Linked DNA regions of Ovis aries. The protein of the gene in region 1 interacts with the protein of each later gene in a pairwise test. Links are inferred from orthologs where the notes say so. Each region holds a gene or a part of one and is shown in the gene's direction. Other genes may lie near its edges.

Region 1 (6,957 bases):
GCCCCCCTGGCCCTGCACCCCCCCCCACCCGGCAGAGAGCAGAGGCGGGGGGGTCCAGGTTCCTGAGCACCCGGGGGGTGGGCCGCCTGCCCTGGGGGGCATCTCTCTGTGCTCACCGCCCTGGCGGAGCCCAGCTGGCCCGAACTTGGTCTCCTGTGGTCTCCTTGGAGTTGTCGCCGTCAGACCGCACATCCTCCGCGCGCGGGTGTGTGCCCAGGCGCCCTTCCGCCGCCTTCCCTCTCCAGGGCCGGGTCCCGTGGCCTTTGCTGGTCACTCTGCAGGCTTCTTGGTCTTCAGGGCGCTTCTGCAGGCGAGCTGTTCTCCCGAGGCGTCTGCACAGAGGCTGCTCCGAGTCTCTGGGCATCTGGGCCTCAGGCTTCACCCAGTGAACAGCTTGTGGTGGAGAGGCCGTGCTCACCATGGTCCTGGTCTGTGGCTGGGACCGCCAACACGCGACAAGCGCATCTGAGGCCTGAGAGCAGCTTGCAGCCCCGGCGAGGATGCGAGATGTGCTTTCAGGCAGGGACGTGCTCGGGCCTCCACGGAGCCCCATGTGCTGGGCGCCCTGCCCCCGGGAGCACAGGCCCTAGGGGGCCTGCAGGCTGGAGCCCCAGACCCGCGTGGTGCAGCAGGGGGCCGGGCCAGGGCGGGCGGCCCCGCGCTGATGCCGTGGTCCCGCAGGTGTACATCGGGGAGCTGCCCCAGGACTTCCTGCGCATCACGCCCACGCAGCAGCAGCAGCAGATCCAGTTGGACGCACAGGCCGCGCAGCAGCTGCAGTACGGAGGGGCGCTGGGCACCGTGGGCCGCCTCAGCGTCACCGTGGTGCAGGTGGGTGTGGCTCTCAGAGCCCGTGGGGCCGAGCGCGGGCGCCGAGGGTCGGGGGCAGCAGTGGGCGGCCGGAGGCTACTGTGGAGAGCGTGGGTTGAACTGGAGTCCCCACCCATGGGCTGGGGGCAAGGGCGGGGGATGAGGGGCAGCGAGCAGCGTGGGGCAAGTAAGTGGGAAGCGGACAGCTCATCCCGAGCTGGGTCCAGGGCTCCCTCGGGCTCTGTGTCAGGAAGATCGTGGGCAAGGCTGGAAGGCCCCGAATTTGGCCTCCTGGGGGCATCCAGCCCAGTTCGAGAGCCCTCAAGTTGGGGCGGGAGGAGGGTGTGTGACCCCGCGGCCTGTCGCCGGCACCAGGGGCGGTGGGCAGTGGCCAGAAAGGGGAGACTGCAGGAGCAGGTGGGGAGGAGAGCCACACTTCAGTGTCGGACGCGTTCAGTCGAGGGTGCTTGAGAGGATGTGCCTGAGGCTCAGAGATGACTTCAGGGGGAGGTCCTGCGGTGACAGGAGGTGTGTGTCTGGAGGTGGGCCAGCTGGTCCTACGTGGAGGGGCGGCTCTGGGGCATGATCGCGGGCAGGCGTGCCAGAGCTCAGGGGGTGTCAGCCCGAGAGGGGTGCAAGGAGGCTCCCAATGGGCGGGGCTTCCACAGAGCCTTTGTCGGGAAGAGATGGCGTCTCACAGGCAGCAGGCTCTAGGGGCTTTTAAAAAGAATCGGCCTGTTGAGTGTGACATACGTGTCAGGACGCACTGGTTTGAATTAACGTGCTTTTGTTTCTGTGACCTCTCGACACGTGTGTCCACCCCTGTGATAAGAGCGTTTCTCCAGCACCACGGAAAGTTCCCTTCCCTCTGGCTGTCACGGGCCTGCCCTCAGGCCCCAGGTGCTTCCTGGAGTCTGTCCGTTGCTCAGCAGGAACCAGGGCGCTAGCCCTGGTCACCGTGAGGCGTGGGCTCCAGGGGATCAGGCCCCTCGGAGCGGATTCCTGGCCCCCCGGGCACTGGGCAGGGTCAGTCACTGCTGAGAGAGTCCTGCCCGGTCAGGGGGCCGGCACGGTCACTGTCTGAGGATGCAGAGAAGGCCTTGGCCAGGCCTCGCTTCTCAGGGGGCCCCTGACCCCTGCTTCTCCGGGGCTCAGACTCTGTCCCAGGACGGCCTGCCCTCTCCACCCTCCTCCCCAGGAGTCGGGGGGACCCAGCCCCGCCCAGCAGTGGGTGTGTCCTGAGACGCTGGGCCCAGCCCAGACCACCTCCTGGTTCCTGGGCCCCGAAGCACAGTTGTCCTCGGAACGGGCTCTGGGACCCCACAGACAGCACAGTCTGAGGACGCTCAAGGCCGCTACCTGAAACAGTGCAGGTCTGCACGTGGCCTGCACAGATCCCATGTGCTCAGAGCCATCCCTGGGTTACTCATGACACCTAGCATGCCGAACACGCCGCGTGAGCTCGGTTGTTATACGGTACAAGGCTGTAAACCCAGTTGCTGGTGTGGCAGATTCAGGTTTTGCTTTTGGAAGTTTCTGGAATGTTCTTTCCTGGTCCAGCGCCTTTCTCTTTCACTTTGGACCTGTGGTTGTGGAGGGCCGACAGCACAGTGGTGGCCGTGTCCAGTGGGTCAGCACCCAGAGCGCCCTGGAAGCCGTGGGTGGCGGGGAGGCTCCCAGGCTCACGGCTGCGGCCCCGTCTCACGCGGCGGCTTTGTTTCAGGCCAAGCTGGCGAAGAACTACGGCATGACCCGCATGGACCCCTATTGCCGCCTGCGCCTGGGCTACGCCGTGTACGAGACGCCCACGGCCCACAACGGCGCCAAGAACCCGCGCTGGAACAAGGTCATCCAGTGCACCGTGCCCCCGGGCGTGGACACCTTCTACCTGGAGATCTTCGACGAGGTGGGCACCACGCGGGCCGCTGCGGCTCAGGCTCCCGGCTGCTCCAGAACGTCGGGCGTGTGTGCAGGGGGGGTGCTGTGGTGTGACAGGCGCTCTGTGCCCCCAGAGTCTCTGGAACCTACACTCAGACACGTCACCGCCATGTCCGGAGCGTGGGCGTCGCCCGACCAGTCAGGCCAGGCACTGCTGTCCGCACGTGGCTCAGGGCTGACACGGTCAGGCCCTGGCAGGGTGGGCACTGGCCTCTTTGTGGGGGAATGGCAGGAGCCTCCTGAGTGTCCCCGGGGTGTCGGGAGCCCCAGGCCCTTCTCAGCCTGGCCCTCCACGTGCCCCAGCCCTTCTGAGGCTGGCTCAGAGTGGGGTGGGCGGCAGGGCTGGGAGAGGCTGCGGTCCTCAGGGGTTGGGGTGGAGCGGGAGGGGAAGGCGTGGTTCAGGGGAGCGCGTGTCCGGGGGCCCGGCCCCGCGGGTTGGTGCAGGCGGCGCTGGTGGCTCATTGGAGCCCCTCCCTCCGTGTGGGCCCGCAGGAGGGGAGCGAGGCGGGGGCTCCATGCTGTGCACACCCTGCGGGGGGAGGGCCCTGGGGGCTCTGGGCTCACATGCCGTCTCCCGTCTCCCCCAGCGGGCCTTCTCCATGGATGACCGCATCGCCTGGACGCACGTGACGATCCCCGAGGCGCTGAAGCAGGGCAAGGTCGTGGACGAGTGGTACAGCCTGAGCGGGCGGCAGGGCGACGACAAGGAGGGGATGATCAACCTGGTGCTGTCGTACACGGTGAGGCCGCCGCGCCTGCCCGGTGCTCCCCGCGCGGGGGCGGGCCGGCGGACCCCCAGCCTCGGGGCCGCCGCGCTGGTACCTGCTCACCCCTTCCTGGCACTGGATCAGTCACTGCGGGTTCCCACATCAGCACGTTTCTGCTGGGTGCATCCTACCTGTTCAGCAGACGCTTCCATGTGGATGGGACGCTGCTGCTGTGTCTAACTAACTGCAGCCAGAGAGAGGCTGTCTGGGACGGCAGGGGTTCGAGCCTGAAGCGTGCGCTCCGGCTCGCAGCCTGGAGCAGCGTCCTCTCCCGATGGGCTCTCAGTCGTGTCCTGCGGCTCTGACGACAGGCGCCTTCCACCCGCGTCGTCCTCTGCCCGCAGAGGGGCCTGTGGGGAGGCGGTGTGAACGGGCGTCTGAGGTTGGGGACAGGGCGCGTCCTAGCCTCGACTGTGGGGCCCCAGGCCTGGTGCTGCCCCCCACCCCAGCTTTTGGTGAGGCGGCGGGGGGGGTGTTCTGCTGTGACCCTGGGGTCATCTTTGGTGTGTTTCAGTCGCTGCCGGCTGCCATGATGATGCCGCCTCAACCCGTGGTCCTGATGCCCACCGTGTACCAGCAGGGTGTGGGCTATGTGCCCATCACAGGTGCGTCTCCCCTCCTCGCGGCGCGTCTCCTGGGGTGGCCTCAGAGCAGGAGGGAGGTGCGTGGGGTGTCAAGCTAGAGGCTGGGCCTGGTCTGCAGGCGGTGCCTGGAGAGCCTGCCCAAACCGGGGGTCCGCTGTCCTGTGTTGGCTTCTCCTGCACGCTTAGGGGGTAGGATTGTTTTTTTTTCTGTCAGTGCAGAAAAGTTGAGTTAAGTGTATGGAGATGGGGAAGCATGGTTTCTGAGTCGCTGTAGCACAAGGTCATGTCCTTTCGGGTGGATGGACGGACTGCACGCCCGAGCCTGCCTGCGTCTGTCGCGTCCATTCCCCGTGCGCGGCTCTCGACCTCTCGCAGTGTTCACCTTTGTGAGCCGGCGGTTCACGCGCAGCGGAGTCGAGTAGGGTGTGGCTTTTCTCGTGGATTTCTGTGCCTTCACGTCAGCCTGTGGTCAGTTCCCACCCAGGCTCTGACTGGAAGTGACTCAGTCCCCCTGCCTGTGAACGTCTGTAGGACGGGGTGGGACGCAAGCGTGGGAGGCTCAGAGCCTGGGAGACGGGAGAGGATGCGAGGGTGCTGTGCGCACGGTGGTGGCCGTGTCCCTGAGAAACCTCTGAGCTCTTGAGCAGAGTGCGGGGAAGAGTGAGGGCTGGAGCGGGAGGGAGGGGCCGGGGGGCAGCGGGAGGGAGGGGCTGGGCCCTGCGGCTGCCTCGGGTGCGCGTCCGGCCCCGCAGGCAGCCGTGTCCATCGCAGGCTTGGTCCCACCCCTGCGGCCGGCACCCCTGTACCTCAGCGCTTGTCGGCTCTTCTGCTGGTTTTGGTTTGGAAGGTTTTGAGCTGCCTTTAAGGTCTTCTGAGCTCAGACAGGAAAGGAGACCATGTGAGCTGTTGGGCCTGGTTGGGGGACTGTGCTTTTGAGTTTCTAAAGACAGGTAGTTTTGCAGCCGCTTCCGCCCTTCAGAGCGCTGTCTGGCCAGGGCTGTCTCTGAAGCCGCGGGACCTCAGCAGCTCTGTCTTTCCTTTTGCTGGTCTGTTTTCCTCACAAGACAGTCGGAGCTTTGACTTGGGTTCTGGTGGCTCCAGGTCTGAGTCTTCCAGCAGCTGAGATGCCTTGAGCTTCTCAGCGTCCACATGGGAGTGAAGGGGTGCGGCTGGTGTGGCGAGCTGACACCGGAGCCCCACGTGCTGCCCGTGTGGAGCAGGGGGGGGTCTGCCGTCCTCAGGACGCTGGGCCCGGTGGGGTCTCCTTCCTCGACGGGGTCTGACTGGGACTGGGTGCCCAGCTGGGAAGGCCTGTCCTGGAGGGCCGGCAGAGGGGCCGGCGGGGGAGTCTCGGTGCTCGGGGTTGGGGGGGTGGCAGCTGGGGGTGGCCGTGGTGCGAGGGCTTGACCCCCGTGGTGTAAATGGCTGAGGTCTGCTCACCCCCATTTTTCCTGAGCGTCTGGCCTATCTGAGAGGCAGTGTCCGGGGCCGAGATCTCTGGGGTGATGTTGGGGTGAGGGGGAGACCTCTGGGTCATGTCGGGGGTGGGGGGAGACCTCTGGGGTCATGTCGGGGGTAGGGGGAGATCTCTGGGGCAGTGTTGGGGTGAGGGGGAGACCTCTGGGGTCATGTCGGGGGTGGGGGGAGACCTCTGGGGTCATGGGGTGAGGGGGAGATCTCTGGGGTCATGTTGGGGTGAGGGGAGACCTCTGGGGTCATGTTGGAGGTGGGGGGAGATCTCTGGGGTCGTGTTGTGGGGGAGACCTCAGGTGAGACCTGGGCTCCGCAGCAGAGGGGCTGCCCACTGAGCTTGCCTCTGCTTGCAGGGATGCCCGCCGTGTGCAGCCCCGGCGTGGTGCCTGTGGCGCTGCCCCCAGCCGTGAGCGCCCAGCCCCGCTGCCGTGAGGAGGACCTGAAGGCCATCCAGGACATGTTCCCCAACATGGACCGGGAGGTGATCCGCTCCGTGCTGGAGGCCCAGCGGGGCAGCAGGGACGCAGCCATCAACTCCCTGCTCCAGATGGGCGAGGAGTCCTAGACATGCCCGCCGTCTCGCCGCCTGCCCGCCCGCCCAGCTCTCCCGAGCACTGTCCCCAGCAGATCCCCGTGAACATGCCCCGCGTAGCCCCTTCCTTGGACGTCCGTGTTGCCGTCCTCGCCCTCGTTGGGATGCATGTGGTTTTGGTTCTTGGAGCCGTTCTCCACGTGGTCGGGGCGGGGGGGGGTGGCTCTCCTCTCGCTTCCTGAAGGGTGGAGGCGGCGCGTCCCGTGCACACGCCCACTTCCTGCTGGCCGTCCTCCCGGGAGCCTCTCCTGGGAGCAGCTCCCCCGCAGGGCCTCGGTGCTGGGCCCCTTCTGGGTTGACAGGTGGTCTCTCATGATGCCGCCTGCCTGGGTAGACACACTAACAGCTGCTGTGGGTCGTGTTAGGGCTTCAGGACAAGAAGCTCCGCTCCTCCCCGTGGCGGTCTCCCTGGGCGCCTCGCTGGGGTCGGGTGGACCTTGCCTCGGGGCCCAGCCTGGCGTCTGCAGCCACGTCCTGAGCCCGCGGCCCCGTAGTCTTTCCTGCTGCCTCGCCCTCCATGCCGTGTTGTCCCGAGGGGTCGCCGCCCCCAGACGCGCGCTGACTGTAGAGCTCGCTGAGGTGGGTGTCGGGAGCAGACCCAGCCCTCGTCCCCGTCTGTCAGAGGCCTCTGAACTCTCAGCTCACCGCCGACCTTGTGTAGGAAGCTGGGCCGCAGGCTGGGTCAGCGTGGTGACCGCCGGCACTGGGAGGTCTTCCCGAGAGGCAAGAGGCAACCTGCGGTGTGGGCGGCACCCTGCCGCCTCTGGCCGTGGACACTGAGGATGGGGCCAGC
Region 2 (7,186 bases), on another chromosome or scaffold:
GGAGCAGGTACTACAAGCGTTTGATTTTAATTTAACTAGTTCCATCTAAGGATAAAGAAGAAAAGGTAAAATTTCAAAGAGAATATCTGGTTTATACTTAGTGCAAAAACTCAGTGGTTTGAACTGATGGTCATAAAAGGATATACTGCTTTCTTTTAGCATAACACTAATTTGGAAATACACACCAAGATTGAATTTTGAATGAACTGCTGCTGTTGTTTAGGAGCTAAGTCGTGTCCAACTCTTTTGCAACCCCATTGACTGTAACATGCCAGGCTCCTCTGTCCATGGGATTTCCCAAGCAAGAATACTGGAGTGGGTTGCCATTTCCTTCTCCAAGGGATCTTCCCAACCCAGAGATTGAACCCATGGTTTCCTGCATCAGCAGGCAGATTCTTTACCACTGAGTCATATGGAAAGCAATGAGATACAATTAGGTAATGCAATATTGAGTTTTGTGGACCTTTAATAAAATAGTAAAATTTTAATATAAATTTAGATAGCTCATACATATCTAGGTTACTTTTAGTTAGAATGCAAATTAGATTTTTAATTTATCATCACTTAAAACTTATCAAATCAATTACAAAAAACTGAAAATTATGCTTCAAATGACTGGTAGTAGTACTTCCAATTAAGTCATACTAATTTAAAGAGAAAGGGAGAGTTTTAACCTAGAAATCATATGCTGTTAAAAGGATGGTTGGTAATTTAACAATTATTTTTACTACCTAGAACATATAAATTTTCAAAAAAGTATTAGTACAGTATAATATACATATATTTTAATCATTTATCACTGCATTATGACAAAAATCATAAGAGTGATCTAACACATTTTTTAAAAATTCTAACAGATGCCATTCTATACTGAATTTGGATATATTCCACAAGAAGTAGAACCTGTAAGTAAATGTATTTTTCATTAAAAAAAGAAAAACTAGCTTTGAAACTACTTGCTAAACAAACTATTAAATCTACCAGTGATCTTTAGTCAAAAACCCACCAGGAACACACCTCTAGTTGGACAAAATTGGATTTATCCACTTACTGCAACAAGGGAGGTCACACACCATAGGGAACTGTGGAGTGTGTTAACAGGAAGGATTGGAATGACATCTCACAGGGTCTGGTCTTGTGTCAATGATCTGGGGGAGAGTTCAAATAGTCACGTTACTTTTGATTTGGAGTTCTCAAGAACTGGGCTTCCCTGGTAGCTCAGATGGTAAAGAATCTCAAGAACTGGGGGTAGTTCTATGACTGGGTAACAACAATTCTTTCTTTTTAAGTAAGAATGATGGAGGGAAGCAAAGACCATGATCGGTGATATATGGCAAAACCAATACAATATTGTAAAGGAATTAACCTCCAATTAAATTAAATAAATTTATATTTTAAAAAAAAGAAATTCTTCAGATTATCCAGGACCTAAGGATGCCTGATATTTTCATGCCTTGCACAGGGACCTTGCTGTGGGCAAGATTACCAAGTACTGTTTCTTTGATTGCACTTCATCGTGTTCAGAGGTGACCTTGCCTGGTATTCTGTAGGATTGTTAAGGTACAACAGGAGAACATTAGCATCCAGCAGAGAATGTCAGGCCAGCTCCTGCAAACACTGCAGCAGAGCTATTGCGTTAGGCCAGTTTCTCAGTGTCAGGAGTTGCTTTTCTCTTTCTCAAAACCAAATTATGATTTTTGTTTTTAACAAACTAATTGAAGAAGGTGACAAGGGTATAACCGCCTTAGGTGCAAGATAAATGTTTTATGGATTATTAATTTATACCATTTTAAACTTTGCAACTTTTAAGGTTATGCCAGGAGGACAGCAGCAACCAGCCTTTGATCCCTTCCTAGGCACAGCTCCTGAAATGGCTGCAATGGTAAGTTTCCTTACCACACTTTGATAGTTACTGGAAATCAGCAACTGACAGACTATAGCTCCTTGCACTATTGTGCATTTTAATGAAACTGTTATTATTATTCCATCAACAATTATTACTCGTTCACCCTGTAATCTTTTGCCACACAAGATTCAATTCACTCAGTTCATCAACTATTTACTGAGGAGCTAATACATGCCAGATATTCTCCATCAGTTCAGTTCAGTTCAGTCGCTCGGTTGTGTCCGACTCTTTGGGGGCAAGAGGAGAAGGGGATGACAGAGGATGAGATGGCTGGATGGCATTACTGGCTCGATGGACGTGGGTTTGAGTGAACTCCGCAAGTTGGTGATGGAGAGGGAGGCCTGGCATGCTGCAAATCATGGTGTTGCAAAGAGTGGGACACGCCTGAGCGACTGAACTGAACTGAGGCCTCCCTGTCCATCACCAAATCCTGGAGTTCACTCAAACTCACGTCCACCAAGTCGGTGATGCCATCCAGCCATCTCATCCTCTGCCATCCCCTTCTCCTCCTGACCGCAATCCCTCCCAGCATCAGAATCTTTTCCAATGAGTCAACTCTTCACATGAGGTGGCCAAAGTACTGGAGTTTCAGTTTTAGCATCATTCCTTCCAAAGAACACCCCGGACTGATCTCCTTTAGAATGGACTGGTTGGATCTCCTTGCAGTCCAAGGGACTCTCAAGAGTCTTCTCCAACACCACAGTTCAAAAGCATCAATTCTTTGGCACTCAGCTTTCTTCACAGTCCAACTCTCACATCCATACACGACTACTGGAAAAACCATAGCCTTGACTAGATGGACGTTTGTTGGCAAAGTAATGTCTCTGCTTTTGAATATGCTATCTAGGTTGGTCATAACTTTCCTTCCAAGGAGTATGTGTCTTTTAATTTAATGGCTGCAATCACCATCTGCAGTGATTTTGGAGCCCAGGTACACTCATTTAAAGTCAGGTATTAAAAGACATCTGTGTTTGCTGGCATATATACATACTCTTTCTAAAGGATAGATTTTAGTCTAGAAAACTAATAAGGCATTTACTTCTCAAATAAAATCCTTGCTTTACTACTTTATATTCTTCCCAATTTTGACCTTGTGTTTGAACTTGTAATCACTTTTCTTTCTCACCCTCATAGCCAGCAGAAGTGTCACCATACTTACAAAAAGAAATGATAAATTTTCAGCGCACCAATGCAAGAATTTTCACTCCTTCAACTTCACAAAAACCCAGCACAACATTTTTTTTTACTTCTGCTGTGGACCCAATTATTACCACAGAGCTAATGGAAAAGAAGGTAAAGTAATCAAAGATTCTTTTTATGAAAGAAATGGGTCTCTAAATAGAAAGTATAAAAATAAAGTTCATGCTTGATTTATAGGACTTAGTTATGAAAATCATGACAAAGTTAATATATAGTAGAATATATGGTCTTAACCTTGAATAAAAAGACCAATAATTTCTTACAGATAATCAGAATCTAATGTAATTTTTATTTAATAAAAGCTTTTTATGTATGTTTTTCTCACTAGGCCAAGACTGATAGCCTGAAGGAACCATAAGATGTTGTCCTAATCATTTAGAGTTTAGGGTAGGTATTTGCCAAGAGGCGTGCCTTATGTTCCATGACATATCCTAAATTAAAAGAAAAAAATTGTAAGAATAACTAAAGGCATATACCAAAATGAAAAAAAAAAAAAAACAAGTTAGTGCTTACATATTCCTACAAAGCTAACAATAATTATGAGCAATTTTATTAGCAAATTTTTTAGTCAAAATAAATTTTTGAGGATAGTGTCTGTCTATGCCATAAACTTTTCATAAACTCTGAGAACACAAATAGCAAATATACTAGGTCCATGTTACAGACAGACAGTAAATGCAAAGTGCTATGCTATGTTTAGCTGCTCAGCCATGTTCAGCACTTTGCAACCCCATGGCCTGTAGGCCACCAGGCTCCCCTGTCCATGGGGCTTCTCCAGGCAAGAATACTGGAGCAGCTTGCCTTGCCCTCCTGCAGGGGATCTTCCCAACCCAGGGATCATACCTGGGTCTCCTACACTGCAAACAGATTCCTTACCATCTGAGCCACCAGTGAAGCTCATATGCAAAGTCAGTTCCCCCAAATCACTACTTCACTTTGCAAGCTAAAAGTAATGCTAATACATCTGTGTTAGTTTGGAATGAAAAAAAGTCTCAAAGTAATTTTTTTTAAGTGCATATTCACATGGAAATTTAAAATTCCATGATTTTTATATTAACTATTACTTTAATTGATTACCTGTCCTAATGAGTTTCACTGGCTATGAGGCTAGTGGGTGTTTGATAGAAGGGCAGGGTGGGATGGGTCTAACATGTAAAAAATACACACTAAAAAGCAAATAATTTGGCCTGAATTGGAAAAGTAAAAGGCAAAGATTTTTAAAATCTGTCCCCTGCTTCCTCTGAGTCTTTTCTGATTTCTCCTATGAAAATGAATACTTAGCATTTCTTAGATTCAAAAAAGTTAATAAAAATACAACCAGAAGTGAATAGTGTGAGCACCTCTTTAGAAAATTCTCTTCTATAATGTGGCTTTGTGTGCAATGCAAGATAATTCAAGCTTTTTAATCAGAAATACTAAAGGGATTTCAGTATAGTGTGACCTTCTGAACCAATGCAAGAAAATGTAGTTTTATTTCTTTTTAAGCAATTTAGAAAACATCTCAGGAATTTTATAGAAAGCAGTCTAATGATTTTAAAATGCTCTTTTATTTTATTTTTCAGAAAAAAAGATGTTGCAGCACCCTGAGTATCATTTTATTTCCTCAATATTAATATTGATTCTTTGAAAACTATGAAATACTTTTGGCTCTTCTCCTGAATTTCTTTTTACTTATAAATAGCATTATACTCTTTAAATATCATAGAAAAGTAATACAATCATTTAATAAGCTTAGATTTACAAAATTACATTTCTTTCTAAATATCTTATCATTTCATGATCTGGAAAGTAACAACACTAAGAATAGAGTATCACTGGATTAATTGTATAAGTGTATTAATAAAGGAAGGCTCTGGAAAATGGTGGCATTGATGAGAATAAATATATCCAGTCATTGGATTTACAAGTGTGGTGACTGACACTGATGAACAAAAGTATGTTCCTAGCTTTGACATATCATCACATTATTCCTCCCAGGTCCATTCAACTAGATTCCTTCTGATGCAATCCCTATTAGAATCAAAATTATTTGGTGGCAGATCCCATTAAGTGCACATTCCCAATATGACACAGATACATGGAGAGATGGCTGCCATCACCAAAAGGATAGGTCCCCAGGAAGATGTATACTGGTTTGGTGAAGCAACATATTATACAAAATAAGGCATAGATTTTGGATTTCTTCAGATGTGGCTTTCAATCTGACTTTGAACCTTCAGTAAGGCACTTAACCTGAGTCTCAATTTTCTCAGGTGTAAAACAGAGGTAACAATATCTACCTTTTCAAAATTTCCAAAAGGACCACATGAAATAACACATGTAAGATACCTGGCTATGGCTGTCCCTTGAACAACACGAGTTTAAACTGAAATGAAGTGAAAGTCGCTCAGTCGTGTTCAACTCTGCAATCGCATGGACTGGAGCCCACCAGGCGCCTCTGTCCAAGTGATTTCCAAGGCAAGAATACTGGAGTGGGTTGCTATGCCTTTCTCTAGGGAATCTTCCTGACTCAGGGATCAAACATGGGTCTCCTGCATTGCAGACAAATTCTTTACTGTCTGAGCCACCAGTGAAGCCCCTTAAATGGAGGGGGTACCGTTATATGCAGATTTTTCAATAAATACCTAAAACCATACTATATGATCCAAGGTTGGTTGAATCTTTTGATGTGAAACCACGTATATGGTGTTGTTTAGTCGCTAGGTCTTGTCCAACTCTTTGCAGTCTCATGGACTGTAACCTACCAGTCTCCTCTGTCCATGGAATTTTCCAGGCAAGAATACTGAAGTGAGTTGCCATTTCCTCTCGCAGATCTTCCCAACCCAGGGATCAAACCCACATCTCCTGAGTCTCCTGCACTGCTGGTACATTCTTTATCACTGAGCCACCTGAGAAGCACCTGGCAATATTAGAAAAGTAAAAGTGAAATTTAGTCACTCAATCCTGTCCGACTCTTTGAGACCCTATGGACTGTAGCCTGCCAGGCTCCTCTGTCCACAGAATTATCTGGCAAGAATACTGAAGTAGGTTGCCATGCCTTCCTCCAAGGGATCTTCCCAACCCAAGGATCAAACCTGGGTCACATGCATTGCAAGCATATTCTTTACCATCTAAGCCACCAAGGGAAGCCAATATTAGGTATTACAATAATAAATGCTTTGAAAATTACACAAGTTATACAAATACAATATTAACATACAAAAGCATTAAATAAGTTCTACATAAATAAAATAATATAATGATAAACATTGCAATTTCCTTCAAGGATAATTTTTTATAAAAAATATTCAACTAAACATGCCAAATTTATTTCTTATTCTACACAATATTAAAAGGGTCTTATTAGTTTGGATATCAAAATCCAATTTAGTGACTCAGCTTAAAAAATAAATTTCCAAATCTCTGACTGGAGATCCAATTTGTTTCAGGTGGATGTCTTGGCAAAGTATTGCTGAGCAACAACTATGTTTGAAAACAAGAATACTATAGTCAGTTCAGGTCAGTTCAGTCCAGTCGCTCAGTCATATCCAACTCTTTGCAACCCTATGAATCGCAGCACACCAGGCCTCCCTGTCCATCACCAACTCCCGGAGTTCCTTCAGACCCACATCCATCGAGTCAATGATGCCATCCAGCCATCTCATCCTCTGTCGTCCCCTTCTCCTCCTGCCCCCAATCCCTCCCAGTATCACAGTCATTTCCAATGAGTCAACTTTTCACATGAAGTGGCCAAAGTACTGGAGTTTCAGCTTTAGCATCATTCCTTCCAAAGAAATCCCAGGGCTGATCTCCTTCAGAATGGACCAGTTGGATCTCCTTGCAGTTCAAGGGACTCTAAAGAGTCTTCTCCAACACCAAGGTTCAAAAGCATAAATTCTTCAGCAATTAGCTTTCTTCACAGTCCAACTCTCACATCCATACATGACCACTGGAAAAATCATAGCCTTGACTAGACGGACCTTACCAATTAAATATTCTATATACATCAAATTGCATTACAGAAGAGCTTTAAATTGTCATTTTTGTTAACAGGTTAAGAATACAAGAGTCTACAGTTAATGGAAATATTATTTGGATACA
Region 3 (7,509 bases), on another chromosome or scaffold:
CATCACATTTACCTAATATTTACCGTTCCTGTTGCTTTCCTTTCGTTTTCCTCTGGCACAGTTTCTCTTGTCTCTGAAGAATTTCCTTTAGCATTATTTTAGAGACGATCTGATGGCAGTGAAAGTTTCTTAGTATATTTTATGTACTTCATTTTCATTTTTGTTCCTGAAGGATACTCTAATTGGATATAAGATTCTGGGCTGATGGTTCTTTTCTTCTAGCAGTTTTTAAACATTGCTCCAGTGTCTTCTGGCCTAAATGGCTTCTAATGAGAAATTAACATTCATTCCAATTCTTGTTCCTGTGTTGACTCCGTGTTACTTCTTTCTGTCTGTGCTTTGAAGAACTTTTCTTTTTTCTAATTTTAAACAGTCTGATTATGATATGTCTAAGTGTGGCTGTCTTTGTTTTGCTGAGTGTATTTGTTTCCTGTGGTTGTCATAAAAACATTACCGCAAGCTGGGTAATGGAACTCACCTTCTTAGAGTTCTGGGGACTAGAGGTCTGAAAGGAAGCAAGGCGCCTCCTCCCAGGACTCTGAGGGGAGGAGTCATTCTTCCGTCCTCCACATTCTGGGGAGCGTAGACACCCCTTTACTTCCGTGTCTTGTGGCCACACACTTTGCTGTCTTTCTCCATCTTCACTTTGCCTTCTCCCCTGTGTTTCTCAAGTCCTTCCCCAGATCCCCATTTTCCTGTTTTAGGGTCATATATTCTTGGATTTAGTGCCCATTCAATCATCATCTCAGTTCAGTTCCGTTCAGTTCAGTCGCTCAGTTGTGTCCGACTCTTTGTGACCCCATGAATCACAGCACGCCAGGCCTCCCTGTCCATCACCAACTCCGAGTTCACTCAAACTCACGTCCATCGAGTTGGTGATGCCATCCAGCCATCTCATCCTCGGTTGTCCCCTTCTCCTCCTGCCCCCAATCCCTCCCAGCATCAGTCTCTTCCAATGAGTCAGCTCTTCACATGAGGTGGCCAAAGTACTGGAGTTTCAGCTTTAGCATCATTCTTTCCAAAGAATACCCAGGGCTGATCTCCTTCAGGATGGACTGGTTGGATCTCCTTGCAGTCCAAGGGACTCTCAAGAGTCTTCTCCAACACCACAGTTCAAAAGCATCAATTCTTCGGCGCTCAGCTTTCTTCACAGTCCAACTCTCACATCCATACGTGACCACTGGAAAAACCATAGTCTTGACTAGACGGACCTTAGTCGGCAAAGTAACATCTCTGCTTTTCAATATGCTGTCTAGGTTTGTCATAACTTTTCTTCCAAGGAGTAAGCGTCTTTTAATTTCATGGCTGCAGTCACCATCTTAGTCTTATCTAAATCCTGTGTTGAATGTTGGTACTTTGATTTTAGCAGGCAGACAGCCTAGTGAAGTTTATGCTGCAGTTTCAGCCTGCCTTCTGTGTGCTTTCGTTCTGATGTCAGTTAAATTTTCAAAGCCGTTGAGTGTTACTGAGATGCATCCCAAACGTGTGCCACCCATCTGTCACTGTAAGATCTGGACAGCAGGCTGTGTGTTCATTTCTCAACATCTTTAACCCACTCCAGTATTCTTGCCTGGAAGGCCCCATGGATGGGGGAGCCTGGTAGGCTACAGTCCATGGGGTCGCAGAGTGGGACACGACTGAGTGACTTCACTTTCACTTTCACTTTCACTTGGCATTGATTGGGATCAGCCATGGATGCATAGATCAGGGTGTAAGCCCAGGAGTTCATAAACACCTTGGAGGTCATTGTCCTGAATTCCTCTGTCTTTGTGATTTCCCTGATTCTTTGCCTTCCTGGGATTCCCTTTTTGGTCTCTCCAGTCAAAAAGCTGCAGGTTTACTGTGTCATGCATTTCCTTGACTATGCTTGTCATGGGGACCAGACGGCAGGATAGAAAGGATAAAACAAACAAGGTTTTGCCTCATCCTCTTGGGATGATCACGGTTCCCCTCTTAGAGTGGGAGTTGCCTCTCAGAGGTTTAAGCCACTCTCGGTCCCCGTTGCCTCTGCTGTCACTGAGGCCACCTGGGGATTGCCTGGGGATTAGAGTGCGAGAACGAAGAGGAAGAAAGGGCCAAGGCTTGCCCTGCACACTCTGGGCACTAGGGTTTCCCTTTCCTGCTCCTTGAGTGAGAATGAGCGTCCTCCTGGAGCTGTGTGTCCTCCCTGTCCAGTTGGGCTTTAGGCTGTACTGCATGCCAGTTCGGAAATACCCAGAGGGGCAGAACATGGTAAGTTCACCAACAATTCATTGATATTCCAATTCTAGTCTTCTTTCCCAATTAGCTTGTAATTAATATTTACCTTGCAGGTCTCAGATATTTGCCCCATGCCTTCTGTCCAGATTTTATAGTTGCATTTGGTGAAAGAGACAGGGCAAATGTGTTTACTCCAACTACAAACTGTGCCCCATCCTAACCTCTACTCTGCCTTGCCTTTCATCCTGTAGAAGTGATGGGGTGGCAGCTGCTCTGAGCGGAGACGGAAGGCGCCGCTGTGACCGACAGAGTGCGCTCCGGGGTCTCGGGCTGCCGCCGCCCAGCCCCAGGGCTTTGTCTGCATTCTCTTTGGCGTTTGGGCATTATGGCCCGGTGGGCACCACCACCACTGGCAGTTGTGCTATAGAAGTAATACTTCCGTGAAGTCTGCAGGTGCATCTGGGGTATTGCTTTTAGACCAGGAAGGTCGTCTTTTTGCACTGTGTTCTCACTGTAGGGTAATCATGCTGTATTATCACACTATCCTAGGTTTGCCCAAAGGACCAGCCAAAACCTCGCCTCAAGTCATACATACGAGAGTGTAAGTAATGAAGGCCTTCCCGGGCAGTGCCCCCAGGGAGCAGATTATCATGCTAAAATGGAGCTCCCAATCCTTAATTCTCAAGTTCTGCTCAAAATTTCTTCATAAGGTGTTAATGAAGCCCTTGTTAGGGCTTTTCCTTGTTGCCTTTTTAATCATTTAAGATAAGTATAGTCTCACTTCCATCAGAAAGATAGTAAAGGAACAGAATTCCCTTGGAACTGTTTCTAGTTGCTATCTTTGCTCTCTTTCCTCCCATCCTCTGACAGACTTCAGTCAGACAAGTTCTCATCTCAGCCGCCTCGCGGGCTGAGCTCTTGTCAAGGTCACTGGAGACCTCCCGATGACTGACTAGTCCTGCCGTGCTCAGCGCTCATCCTACCTGATCAGCAGCAGCTGAGGCCAGCCACCTCCTCCCGTCTGCCCACGTGCTTTGAGACACCACTCCCTTCAGGCTCTCCTGCTGCTCTCTTCTGCATCCCTTTGCTGACCTCTTCTCTACCGGCCTCTCAGTGTTGGAGACCCTGGGAGGCAGGCCTCAGATTTCTCTGCCCACATTATTTCCTCTCTGGTCTTTTGGTCTCGTATCAAGAAGTACCACTCAGACTCTGAGCACTTACAAGTTGTTTCCAGTCCATACCCCTTCCCCACGTGCAGAACTCCCATTTCCACCTGTCACTTCACATCTCCCCTTGCTTTCTTTCAGCCTCAGCTCCCGATGTGCTCCTTCGGCCGGCTTCCCCATTCTGTAAATGACCACTGTTTCTGTTGTTCAGGTCAAAAACCTTGGGAAACTGTGCTTGACCTTTACCATTTTACCTTTGCCTTCAAAATATATGTTATCCCGCCACCTTTTCCCACCTCCCTTTTACATCCCAGCGCAAGCTACATCAGATGGGTACTGCAGTGGCCTCCCGCAGGGCTGCTGTTCCAGCCTCCACCTCCCTCTCCACCCCCACCCCATCATACAATCTGTTCTCCAAACAGAAACCAGAACAAATCTTTTTTTAAAATAAAGTTTATGTTACTCATTTACTCTGAAGCCACCTGTGGTTTTCTGACTCCACTTATCAAAGCCTGAGAAGCCGCTCTGACCTCTCCCGTTGCCTCTCCAGCTGTATGTCCAGCCCCTCCCTTGGCTTGCGCTGCTTCAGCTGCACTGGCTCTGCCTGCTTCAGAGCATATGACCCGTGTTCCCTCAGATAATCACAGGGCCCACAGGGCCCTGCTCCATGTCCCCAGTGGTGAGGCATTCTCTTGACCAGGTCTGACGGATACGCTTTTTTGTACTTAATGGTTTTGCCTCTTTGAGGCCAAGGTTTTATATTCAGTGTGGGACAGGAGACTCTGGACTGAGCCATACATTTCTGGCTTTTTTTTTTTTTAAGCAATATATTTTATTTAAGTTTACATTTTATATGGGAATTAAGGTACAGGGAGCATGAAACCAGACAGAACAGCAGTAGGTTTTATAAGGGGATATTACCTTAAAAACTAAAATAATAGTTAACGATTAGTAATTCTTATCTGATTGAGAATATATGATTCTTGGGATAGTGCCACTTGGAAGGCTAGGAATCAAAATCATGAAAGCTTAGAATGTTTATTTGAATGTGTGCTCTGCTCTCTTCAGTTTCTGGAACATTCAAATGCAGTATTACTGCAGCCAGTTAGCCTACAGACCGTTCCAGCAACACCATCAAACCAGAGACTGCCACCTCTGCCTAGCAATCATCCAGGTACTTAAGACCTTATTATCTGCACCAAATAAAGAAACTTATGAGAATAGATGGGTCTGCTAGAGATTTATTGGTGACTAAAAACAGATACGCAGAGAGAAGAAATTAGAGTGCATTTGCATTTTCAGCTACATGAGGTAAATTTAAGGCAGATTTCATTATGACTGACTGTTGCTATTGTCACTAAGTCATGCCCGACTCTGCAGCCCTGTGGACTGCAGCCCCTTGGGTTCCTCTGTCCGGGGGATTTCCCAGGCAAGAACATTGGAGTGGGTTGCCGTGCCCTTCTCCAGGGGATCTTTCCGATCCAGGCACATCTCCTGCATTGGCAAGGGGGTTCTTGACTGCTGAGCCACACGGGAAGCCCCGTGACTGACATGAGGAGACTGTGGAGGTGCTTGTGTTGCACTGAGTCCTGTATTCTGAGTGCTGAGGTGAATAACCTTTAGTCTGAGTCTGGGCGCCTGTAGACTTGTACTGGGCAGTAGCGCTGGGACACCAGTGTGCTTGTTTCTGGTTGTCAAGTGTTCATTAGGATCTTCTGTTTGAAGTCAAAGTCAGAGAGAGTATTAACTGTGTGTATCTCCTCAAAAACCACAATGTGTTTCTTCTTGTTGCCTACAGCGATGACAAAGAACGATCTCCAGCCACCCAATTACTGTGAAGTAATGGAGTTTGATCCCTTAGCTCCTGCTGTCACCACAGAGTAAGTCATTTACAAAATGATTATTTTTTTGTCTTGGTTCCCTTTGGTAGCAGAGCTCACAGGGTTTGGTTATACATTTAACTTTGTTCAGGCCTTAGCAGAAATCAATGACCTTATATAAAAGTGATTTATGAGATTTTGTGGTGGTTGTTGCTCTTAATGTTGGTCTTGTCATGCTTGACCTTGTGACTTAAAAACACTGGGGTTGCACACTAAGAAATAAGCAGAACCATCATGTGCATTAGTGTATTCCTTATAGATGCCTTGGAAGAAAGTCAGATTCTCTCCAGCTCGAGACAGGCACTATTCACTGATTGATGACTCTTAAGTACCACGTTGATGGGGTATTTTAGTTGTTCTTTGACTAATGCCAGAAAAAAACTTACATAAGAACTTGTTTTTAATCTTCACTACCTATGACAACTGTGTGCTTATTAATGTAAAAATTACTTTTTAACTTGGAATCCTTAAAGCAGTATTATTTTGTGATTTCATATTGGTCAAGTGCATATAAATATTTATGGGATGGTAGCCTCATTAGTGGAGTAGGAAATAGCAACGCAGTCCAGTATTCTTGCCTGGAGAATTCCATGGACAGAGGTGCCTGGCGAGCTAGTCCGTGGAGTCACAGAGTCAGATACAACTGAGCATGCACACACAGGCTCATTAGTTTTAATATATTTTGACTAACTGAAAGTTACCTCCAAACTTGTTTAAAATGATTAAAGCATTTTCATAGAAATGACTGTTTAGAAACTAGCAGCCTACAGGCTGTATCTTGCCTGCAACTGTGCTTTGTTTGACCTATGTGAATTTTAAATATGCACATAAAAATTAATTGCCAAGTTAAAAGATGGGATATTTCACTAACTTTCTGAACCTCTGGATGCTTTCTGATACGACAACAATGCCAAGCCTGCATTTTTACATGCTAGCAATAGTTTGGGGCTGCGCTGTCTCAGTTCACCAGGCCCCCACATACCTTCAGCTGATCTGCCTGACATGTGTAGGCATTTGTGTTTTTGACCCTGACCCCCTGGTTCACACCCTCAGTGTAGTGATGTTTTGGAATGATTTGTAAGTGAGTAAAGCAGGCCTGCAGAACCTGTCTCATCTTAAACAGGCAGCCACTATGCAGTCCCAGGCTTATTACGATAAGCTTAGGAGTTCATTAAATATTTTGTCCTAACAGGATTGTGAAACTTTCATTCCGCTTGATAAAGTATCACTGAATATGTTAGTGCTTTAAGGAATTAGAAACTGGTTAAACTAGGTATGTTGTCTCAAGAACGCATGTTTTTTTAATCAGTTTCTCCAAGCAAATAGGAAGCAGATTATAATCTAGTTAATTATGAGATAGTTGTAAGTAGATGTGGTGGTATAGGAGATATTAAAGGTAAGAAATAGCAAGAAGCTGGAGAGGTGAAGTTCTGGAACTCCCTACCACTTTGAAAGCTCATGACACTTTCAGATTGTGGTGCTGGAGAAGACTTTTGAGAGTCCTTTGGACTGCAAGATCAAACCAGTCAATTCTAAAGGAAACCAACCCTGAATATTCATTGAAAGGACTGTTGCTGAAGCTGAAGCTCCAAAACTTTAGCCACCTGATACAAAGAGCCGACTCACTGGAAAAGACCCTGATGCTGGGAAAGATTGAGGACTGGAGGAGAAGAAGGCAGGAGAAGATGAGATGGTTACATAGCATCACCAACTCAATGGATATGAACTTGAGCAAACTGGAAGATACAGAGGACAGGGAAGCCTGGCATGCTGCAGTCCATGGGGTGACAAAGGGTCAGACATGACTTAAGGGCTGAAGAACTACCACCGGCACTATAGTTCTTACTTTCCGGGTGGTAGCGTGTCTCAATCTCTTTAAACGTTCCATGAGATCCAGGGAACTTCTCCCTAAGGAAAAGCATAAAATCTTACATGAAAGTCCTGGGATTATCACATCACTGGTTGTCCATGAACCCCAAGTGAAGAATTTCTACTCCAGCAGAACATAGAGTACTTATGAATATACATATACATACACAATTCACTCATTTGACATATGACTGAAAATTAACTAGGTACAAGGGAAAATGATTGGTGCCTGATTTATAATGTTGAACCTAATGGAGGGGAAATCTAATAAGGAGGCAGAAATTAAATCAGCAGGCAAACATGCATTTGCAGTTTGTGTTAATAGTATGAAAGATATTGACTTGACAATATATAACAGAAAGAACTGACTTAATTGGGGGTTAGAGAAAGCCTGA
Region 4 (8,260 bases), on another chromosome or scaffold:
CCGTGCGTGGAACTGGGGGCTGCCCGCGCCCACCCTGCCTGGCCCCGCCCGGGACACGTACTCTGGAAGTCCAACTGCAGGGACAGGACGTCCTTGAAGAGAATGCCCTCCTGCTTGGCCAGCTGCCCAGCCTCCTCCCGTGGGCCCTGCTCCCCCACAGCCAACTTGAGCATCTCATCGTCCATCACTCTGGGCTCCATGTCATACAGCCGGTTCATCCTTCCTGTAAAACACCAACACCCTGGCTGAGGCCGCCTCTCCTGCCTCCCTTTGAGGGTGGGGCCTGGCCAGTATCCTTTCACTGCATCGTGGGGGAGCGTGGCAGCCATGACACTCTGAAGGCAGGCCCCTCCCACTCTTGGCTGCTAAACCTGGGCCTCCCCAGACCCCCGCTGGCCTGGTGCCCACCAACAATGGTGCACCCCTTGTCTCCACAACCAGGCTGTGACCCTAACCGCGACCCCGATATCCATACTGGTCCCTTTAGCCTCTGGAGCTCAGCTGCCTGCAAAGCCATCGATCGCCATCTTGGGCCTCTGGCTTTCTGTGCCCACCCTTGTTGGGTTTCTCGGCACCAACCACTGATCACAGTCCTTGGTGGTCCCAGCCAGGCCTGCCAGGCCCGCCAGGCCTGGCCCCCCTTCCCTGAGAGCCTCACCCTCTGAAGGTGGCCATATCTGTAAGCACCCCCAACCACAGGTGCCCAGGGTGTAGCCACTGGTACACACGGACTCAAGCTGGCTGTTTGTGACCCTCCCCAGAGAGATGTGAACTGCGGCCTCAGGACAAAGCACCCGTCAGTGCTGGCTACTTGGCTTGGAAGGCACTGGGAGCTAAGGGCTGGTCAGGGACATGGTGAGTGAGAGAGTAACAGGACCTGTGGAAGATGGACAGACAGAAGCAAGATGGGAACTTGATCCAGGAAAAAAGACAAAAGGACAGACAGAGGCTGCCTTCCCCTTGCTGGCTTCCTGGCCCCTCCTGCTCCAACCTCAGGCCCCTGGACCTCTGACCCCAGGCCCCTAGACAGGGCACTGACTTCACAAGTTAAATCCTCGTTTCCCTAAACTAACCCAGGAGGTATCTGTTGCTACTGGTCCAAAGGGATTTGGCTGAGGCACAGCGGAGTGGGTCACAGACGAACCTACACTGCTGTTCTTGGTTGGACAGAGCCACGGTCCTGGGCAGTTTGACCACAGTCCATCATTACCAGCCGTCCTAGCACACCCAGAAGGGCTGGACCCCATGGGAGGGCACATGCTACTGGAAACGCCCTGATTCTGCCTCGGAATGCTCTGGACGGTCAGTCTTCCCCCTACTCTCCACTCTGTTCTCACCTGCCTGCTGGCTTCACCTCCTACCTTGGCCCTTGCGTGCCCACACCCGGCCTCCCTGCCCCACTGGTCCGATGATGCAGCCCCGCAATTGCCTTTTTATTCCAGCGAGCGCTGCTGGGGAGACTCCTGTTGTTGGGCAAAGTGGGGTGGGCCTGGCAATCCTGCACCTGGTCTCAGAGACCCCCTGCCTGGGTGCCTCTACCCTACCCAGCCATGCAGCTGGTGCAGTTGTGCATCCCAGTGGCCCCAGAGCAGGCACAGCTTCCTTCTTCCTGCACCCACTTCTCTGAGTCTCCCCTCTTCCTGGGTCCCTCCACATTCTCTCATGTCCTTCAGCTGATTGACTCAACCCCTGAAAGACATTTCTAGTCCTCTACCTCTCTCTATCTCCCCATTCTTTGGAGACAATTTTTCTAAAATTTCCCATAACTCGACACCAGCTTCTCTCTGGGGAAATTTTAATGTGCCATATTTGGCAGATGCTACTTGAAAGTGTTGGTGCTTTTCCCCCAACCCTTTTTTTCCTTTACAGACAAGTGCTGTGCTTTGAGAAATGATTCATACTCTGATTTCAAAACTTTGGCTGACTTCTCATCACTCCTGTCACACAAGGGCCTGGTCCCTGAGCCGGGTCGAGCCTGCTTCCAGACAGGCCCAACAGTCATCAGGCAGTGTGGAACATCTGTGTTTGTTACACACACCAGAGTTGGATTCGCACCCTTGGGCAACTGACTTTGCTTTCCAAGTCTTCGACCGCCTATCTGTAAAAGACAGATAACTCCTTCCTCCAATATTTGTTTAAGATCATTTTATTTAGCCCACAAATGTGCAATGAATAGCTACTACATGCGTGGATAAGACTTGGTTAGTGGGTTTAGGAGTATTGTGATTCATAGACCTCCTTACCCCTGTTTCAGACCCAACTCGGATGATCATACAAACCTTTAATTATAAATGGTGACAAGTCTGTGGGTGTAGGGAACTATGACAACATACTTGTGGGGACCTGGGCTGAGACCTGGAGAGAAGGAGGAGGGGTCTTTGGGGTGAGGGTCCTGAGCTGGGAGAGGAGGAGGCAGGTTCCACCGGGATGCCCAGAGTGGCAAGGCCTCCAGGGGTGTTGTGATCATCCCAGGATCCCTAGGAAGCTCCAAGGCATGATGAGGACGTGACGTGATCAGAGTTTAATTTGAAGAAGCTCATTCTGGCTTGTTGCACTGAGAATGTCAAGAGTCGAGAGGTGATTGGGGTGCAGGTAAGAAGTGGGTTTGAGAGACCTCTAGAAACGTAGTTTATGTGAGGGACTGACTCTGCAGTTTTCAGGTAAGAAAATGGAAGCTGGTTAAGCAAGTCAAGTGACACCTATGCTGAGAGACACATCCCGTGCATGCAGAGGCAGGTCAGGCATGCAGAGCTCAGGCTCTTAATCAGACTCAACTGCACCCGCATGCTGTGGGTCATTGTCACAGTTCACACTGTTTCTCCTAACTGTTCCAGGTTTGGCCCAAAACCAGGACAGTCCTCCCCCGGGGGGTTTATCAGTACTTCCCCACCCAGCTGGGGCTGCTGTTGACTTGCCTGACAGTAGTGTTGTTGCGGGCGGGGAGAACAGCCAAGAGCCTTACACCTCCTCACAGAGAACCAGATCCTGAATCATCCAGCGAAACAAGGACTTGGCATCACCTGGACCTGAAAAATGGAGCCCCTATTGGCCGTGAATTGATAAGAGAAAACCACCCTCTTCTGAATGCTCACCATGCTCTGGAGTAACGTTCATGATCAAATTACAGGTCTGGTCTGGGAGCCAGCAGACAAGGGAGCCCTATTGCCCTGACTGTCCAGACGGGGAAACTGAAGCCCGGGAAGGGACCTGCTGACAGGGCATCCACGTTCCAGGCCAAAACCCTTCACTAAGGGTAGCTCTAAGGAAGAGGAACAAGGTAGCAGCAGTTGAGAGGTCGGGCAGATGGTCAGTGATGTCCTCCTGAAGAGGGATCAGTGGGCCGGGTACCTCTCTCTGGCCCGGAGGCCGGGGGTGGGACCTTAAAGGTCTCGTTGGGGCCTGCGCCCATAGGAAACCCTTCCCGAGCTTCTCTCCCCACGAGGCCTGAAGGCCCTGACCGGCGTGGGGCGGCCAGCAGGCTCCTTCGTGAAAAGGTCAAGTCCTTCAGCAGCCTCTCGGCTCTGGGCTCTCAGCTTCTCTGGCACAGTCTGCCACCTGTTCCTGGTAGCTGAGCTGGGTTGCTAGGAGAACCAAGCGCCGCACTCCGTTGCTAGGGGGAAGTCAGGGAGTAGACATCCTGGGTGAAAGTTGACGGCCACGTGATCATATTTCTGGGCGGGGAATGTCACCCAGCACCAACCAGCCTTAGAGAAAACAAATGCTTGTCCAATCAGCACTCTCCCTGGGCGGGGAACTTACTAGCCCCGCCCTCCCCTGCCCTCTTTTTGAGTGAATGATTTGATTTTTGTCCAGTAACAGTAAGGATTCACTCGATTGACCAGTACATAAACGAATCAAAATACACAGTCTCTCGTCGGGAGGCGGGCCAGGGGAGGTGACGGAAATTCCTATGACTTAGCTAGCCACCCCGCCCAATCGGACGCCGCGGGGTGGGCGGGACCTCGCGTAGGGTGGTGTGGTTACCAATGGGAAGAGGGCAAGGCAGTTCTCACCCAATAGGGACAGGTGGGGCGGGGCCAGCGGCGGGCACCGGCGTTCCAGAGGGTGGGGTGGGGGCAAGTGTCAGTCAGGCCGGGAGCACGTCAGGGGACGCGGAGACTCGGCGGCTGACGCGCGCGGGCTGCTGCCGAGCCGTCCGCCCAAGATGGAGTTCCTCCTGGGGAACCCGTTCAGCACGCCGGTGGGGCAGTGCCTCGGTAAGGCCCCCACCGCGGCGTCCCGAGGGCTGGGCGGTGCTCCGCGCGTTGCTGCGCGGCGGGGCCCAGCCCCGTGCCCCAACCCGGCCGCCGCGGTCCCAGCGGGCTCCCTGCCCCGGGCCCGGCGGGCTGAGCCACTCTCCGCGGCGGGGAGCGGGGAGGCCGGCGCGCCCTGGGAAGGCTGGCGGGGGGGTGGGGAGGACGGCCGTGCCGGCTGACGACCGGAGCCCGGACCGGGGAGCCTTGCTGCCGACTCTCCCCGTGACCTTGTGCGAGTCGCTGCCCTGTCAGGTCTGAAGTTCCGTCTGTCAGAGGCGGTCCTCATGTCCCTGGAGCCACTGTCTGCCTGGTGGCTGTCACTTCCCAGCGTCCTCAAGTCTGCCAACGCCGGCCTTCTGGGGACAGGTGGAGAGGGCGTTACTCGGCAGTGCAAACCCTCTGGGGGCTCCGGGCACCGGGATGACCAGCATCCCGGTGAGGAAGCCCGAGGTGGAGGTGAAGGACCACCAGAGACCCGCCCCGTGGAATTTCCTGACTGATGAGCAACGTGCCTTTTCACCCAAGGCGGGAGCTCACGCCAGGCGTGATCCGTCAAGAATGTGGATTGGTTTCTTTTAAAACTGGGTTCCTCCTTGTTGGTGGAAGGACTGGTAAAACGCCTTCTATGAGCAGGGACCTTTGGCGTCCTTATGGGCCTGGCGGGATTAGGCTGGAGTGATTTGCCTATTTCCTGCTTTGTAAATTTCCAGCTTACTTTTCAGCCTTTAGTGGGCCTGTGAAATTATTGACGCCTCTCCCGTTGGCTGACTGGCACCTGGGAGCCTGCCTTTGCTCCCTGGTATAGGGTCTCTGATAAGGGGTGATGGACACTAGGCCCTGGAGGGTCTTTTCCTGCCTTTCTGGAGTTTCCCACCTCCCTTTCTTCTTCCTCAGGTGCTCTTTCACGGCATCCGTATTCCAGAAACTCATTTCTGGTATTGAATTCCAGGCAGTTGTGGGAGGGAGCCAGTAAACTTGGGGGGATTTTTTTTCCCTTTTCTGTCTCCTTTATAATAGGAGGCTCTGTTACTACCTTTGAAACACCAAGGTAGCTGATGAGGGGTATAAGTTAAAAGGAGATTTATTTTAAAATATACAAACAGAAGGGATGTATGGGTGGGTAGCAATGAAAAGAGCATGACACTTCTCTCAGGAGGACCTGGGGTGAATGTCGCTTTTCCCATTTCAGCTGTGGGGCCCTGAAAAATGGTGCAGCCCTCCTGAGCTTTTTAGTTTGTGCTCTGGTTGGGGTGGGGAGATTGGCTCAGTTCCACTTTGGAGAGGAGATGGGGGACCACAGGCCCATCTGTGACCAGGCCCCAAGTCCACCGTCCCTTAGGACGCTTGACCATGAAGAGAATGGGGCCCCTTCATTGCCAGCCAGTGAGCCTGCAGGTGAGGCCTTGAGAATTTCGCAGCTCAGTTCAGATAAGCGATTAGAGGTCAGAATAGGTTCTGACATGTGTTCTGTGCTGTTGGGACAAAGTGTAAAAGTGACCCTCATGACGTTTAGTGCTGTTCATGTTCTTGAGAGGTATATGTGCCAGGGGTTGGTAGAAGGGAGGGAGACGCAGGAGTGAAGCCCCAGCAACAAAGCTGGCTAGTAGGAGCAGCAGGTTTACCCCACACGAAGCAATTTGACCACCGTGACTTTCTCCTGAGGCTGTTCTGCATGGTGAGTTTTATTATCCTTCTCACCTTAAGATGAGGAAACTGAGGCTTAGTGGGGTGAAAGGACAGCCTACAGAGCTGTCCCAGCGCTCAAAGGGTTGATGGGGTCACCACCAGGAACAGAGACTTGGGGGACAGTGGTGACCAATGGAAGGCCCCCATAGCCAGTGCCGAGTCGCCCCGTGGGGACGGGAGAGCTGTCAGGAGGCTGGCACACTGTGGAGTGCGGGGCCTGGGCCGATGGTGAGGAAGGGGAAGGAACCGCACTCGCAGAGAAGAGACCCCTGTGCCGGGGACGGGTGGAGGAGGCGAGTGGCAGTGTGGCCCCCCTCTGTGGTCCCCTGTCCAAGCGGAGCAGGGGTGGCTACGGGGGACAGGGGCAAGTTGGGTTTGGGCCCAGGATGGAGCCCTGTCCTGGGTGGGTGACATCAAGGCCACATTAATTATTGAGCTCAACTCTCGGTCTCTCTGGACCTCGTTTTCCTCCCTCAACAGCTGTGGGGCTTGTAACTAACTCACCCCATCCGTCTAATTCAGCAGGCATGTTGACAGGGTGCTGGGTGCCAGGCCCCAGGATAGAGATGTCAAAACACTGCTCCGAGGGGCCCTCTGTAGCAGTAAGGCACCCCCCCAGGTGTCCTGAGCCGCAGAGCCTTGGGCTCACTGTCTGGGGGTGGGTGGATTGGCCGTTTGCGCTGCCTTGGGGCTGGCCTGCCGCATGCTTCCTGGGCACTGTTGGGTCAGACACACGGAGAGCTGGCAGCCATGCCCCAGCTGACATCTGACGTGGTTTCCGGGGCTTCCTGGTCTCCGTGCTGCCCGTTGTCCTGGGAGGTGGTTCCCGAGTAGAGGCCATGGCTTTGAGCCCGGATGCGCCATGGTGTAAATGGCTGAGGAGTACCCAGAAAGACTGAGTGCTGCCTGATGCTCTCTTCTGAAATGGGTTTTAGGGGGTCCTGTGTTAACAGTTGTTGTGTCCGGGAACCACAAGCCAGGTCCAGGGTGCTCAGCAGGTTCACAGCTCTCCTGTGTTGACTGAAAAATGTTTTCAGATCATCCTTTTCCAGGAGTAAAGTTTGGATTCATTTAGATGAGATCAGTGAGGAGTTAGTTAATCCTGACCCGAGTGTTGGAGGACCAGCTCCCTCCCACTCGCTGCAGGATCAGTGTCCGGGGCCTGGGTGGTGTGGGGTCTTGACTGCTGCGGGAGCCTCCCCGTCTCCTGAGATGGCTGTGAGCTTGACGAGCCAAAGTGTTTGTTCTGAGAGGAGTTAGTTACCAGTGCGAGGGGGCGGCTTCAGGGTTTTATTTAGTCTTCCCAACCCTGTGAGATAGGATGAGAACGGGAAGGAACTTACAGTTTTTAAGCACCTACTTGGTGTGAACTGCACATGGGATCTCCCTGAATCCTGAGTGTGATGATCATCCCTGTATCGCTTCTAAGAAACTGGAGCTCCTGGAGGTTAAGAGACTCCTGCCAGGTCAAGGCCAGAGTCCGGCGGAGAATCCTGTCCTGATCTGGGCTTCGTTCTGGGCTGCCATGTTGCTTCTTGCCCTGCGGACCCCACGAGTCAGGGTCATCAGAATCCCTGGAGAGCTGGTCGAAGCTGGTGGCAGGGTCCGTTGGGGTGGGCTGTCAAGGTCTGAGGATGCTGACACTCTGGGTCCGGAGACCACACTTTGAGAACTGTTGCTTTTGACGAAAAGTTCTGCTCCTGTAATTGCTTCTTAATCTTGCTTCAAACAGTAAATGTGAGTTTTCTTGTGGACAGACTATAGGGTTGATTATTTAGAATCATTCATGCATTTGGTGGTTCTGTCACCTCTCAGTATGCACCACGCTAAACACTTGCTAGGATGTTTGGTCTAGTAAAGGAGCTGAGACAGGGACCTAAATCAGATAAGACGGCAAGTGTTGGCAGCAGATTGGAGAGAGAAACGAAGGAAATGGAGGACAGGAGGGATCCTCCACAGCAGTAGTAGTAATGGTTAGCGGTTTTGCTGTTTTAGAGATGGGGCCGGCTTACCGTGTGCCAGAGGCCACAGTGGGTGCGCTCTGGGTCTCGTGCTGCTTTCGTTCTTACAACACTGCAGGGAGTGTGCTACTCTCTCTGCTTTGCAGACGCGACCTGACTCTGCAGCTGCTGTCCTGGGGGATGGCGGTGGTGAGAAGGGGCATCCCAGGGGCTGGAGGAACTGGCACTCAGGGGGTGGGATTTGGCTCCTATTGGAGAGGAGAAGGAGGCTTGGAGGGCGCTCTGAGCAAAGGCTGGTTGTGGAGGGGTGGGGGTAAGACCAGCTGGGAGAGCAGGGAGAGGCCAGGCAGACAGTGT

What was found.
Region 2: the proteins of TOLLIP (region 1) and ODAM interact in a two-hybrid assay, tested with the Homo sapiens proteins (2 studies listed by BioGRID and IntAct). The two-hybrid records come from large-scale screens. The link is inferred for Ovis aries from reciprocal best matches to the Homo sapiens genes TOLLIP and ODAM.
Region 3: the proteins of TOLLIP (region 1) and TOM1L1 interact in binary tests that used the Homo sapiens proteins (3 or more experiments, as listed by UniProt). The link is inferred for Ovis aries from reciprocal best matches to the Homo sapiens genes TOLLIP and TOM1L1.
Region 4: the proteins of TOLLIP (region 1) and TOM1L2 interact in binary tests that used the Homo sapiens proteins (3 or more experiments, as listed by UniProt). The link is inferred for Ovis aries from reciprocal best matches to the Homo sapiens genes TOLLIP and TOM1L2.

Annotation. Positions count from the first base shown.
Region 1 is NC_056074.1:46,570,983-46,577,939, forward strand, and holds part of TOLLIP (toll-interacting protein), read left to right. Parts: intron 1-681; coding exon 682-831; intron 832-2,533; coding exon 2,534-2,716; intron 2,717-3,335; coding exon 3,336-3,488; intron 3,489-4,029; coding exon 4,030-4,120; intron 4,121-5,925; coding exon 5,926-6,137; 3' UTR 6,138-6,957. UniProt on the Homo sapiens protein: Component of the signaling pathway of IL-1 and Toll-like receptors. Inhibits cell activation by microbial products. Recruits IRAK1 to the IL-1 receptor complex. Inhibits IRAK1 phosphorylation and kinase activity.
Region 2 is NC_056059.1:86,350,959-86,358,144, forward strand, and holds the end of ODAM (odontogenic ameloblast-associated protein), read left to right. Parts: coding exon 1-7; intron 8-857; coding exon 858-905; intron 906-1,810; coding exon 1,811-1,882; intron 1,883-3,040; coding exon 3,041-3,199; intron 3,200-3,434; coding exon 3,435-3,464; 3' UTR 3,465-3,493; intron 3,494-4,668; 3' UTR 4,669-4,953; downstream 4,954-7,186. UniProt on the Homo sapiens protein: Tooth-associated epithelia protein that probably plays a role in odontogenesis, the complex process that results in the initiation and generation of the tooth. May be incorporated in the enamel matrix at the end of mineralization process.
Region 3 is NC_056064.1:4,927,996-4,935,504, forward strand, and holds part of TOM1L1 (TOM1-like protein 1), read left to right. Parts: intron 1-2,748; coding exon 2,749-2,800; intron 2,801-4,433; coding exon 4,434-4,539; intron 4,540-5,163; coding exon 5,164-5,245; exon of another isoform or gene 5,246-7,509. UniProt on the Homo sapiens protein: Probable adapter protein involved in signaling pathways. Interacts with the SH2 and SH3 domains of various signaling proteins when it is phosphorylated. May promote FYN activation, possibly by disrupting intramolecular SH3-dependent interactions.
Region 4 is NC_056064.1:34,301,084-34,309,343, forward strand, and holds the start of TOM1L2 (TOM1-like protein 2), read left to right. Parts: upstream 1-4,085; 5' UTR 4,086-4,165; coding exon 4,166-4,217; intron 4,218-8,260. Other genes in the region: DRC3 (dynein regulatory complex subunit 3), read right to left, coding at 62-218. UniProt on the Homo sapiens protein: Acts as a MYO6/Myosin VI adapter protein that targets myosin VI to endocytic structures. May also play a role in recruiting clathrin to endosomes. May regulate growth factor-induced mitogenic signaling.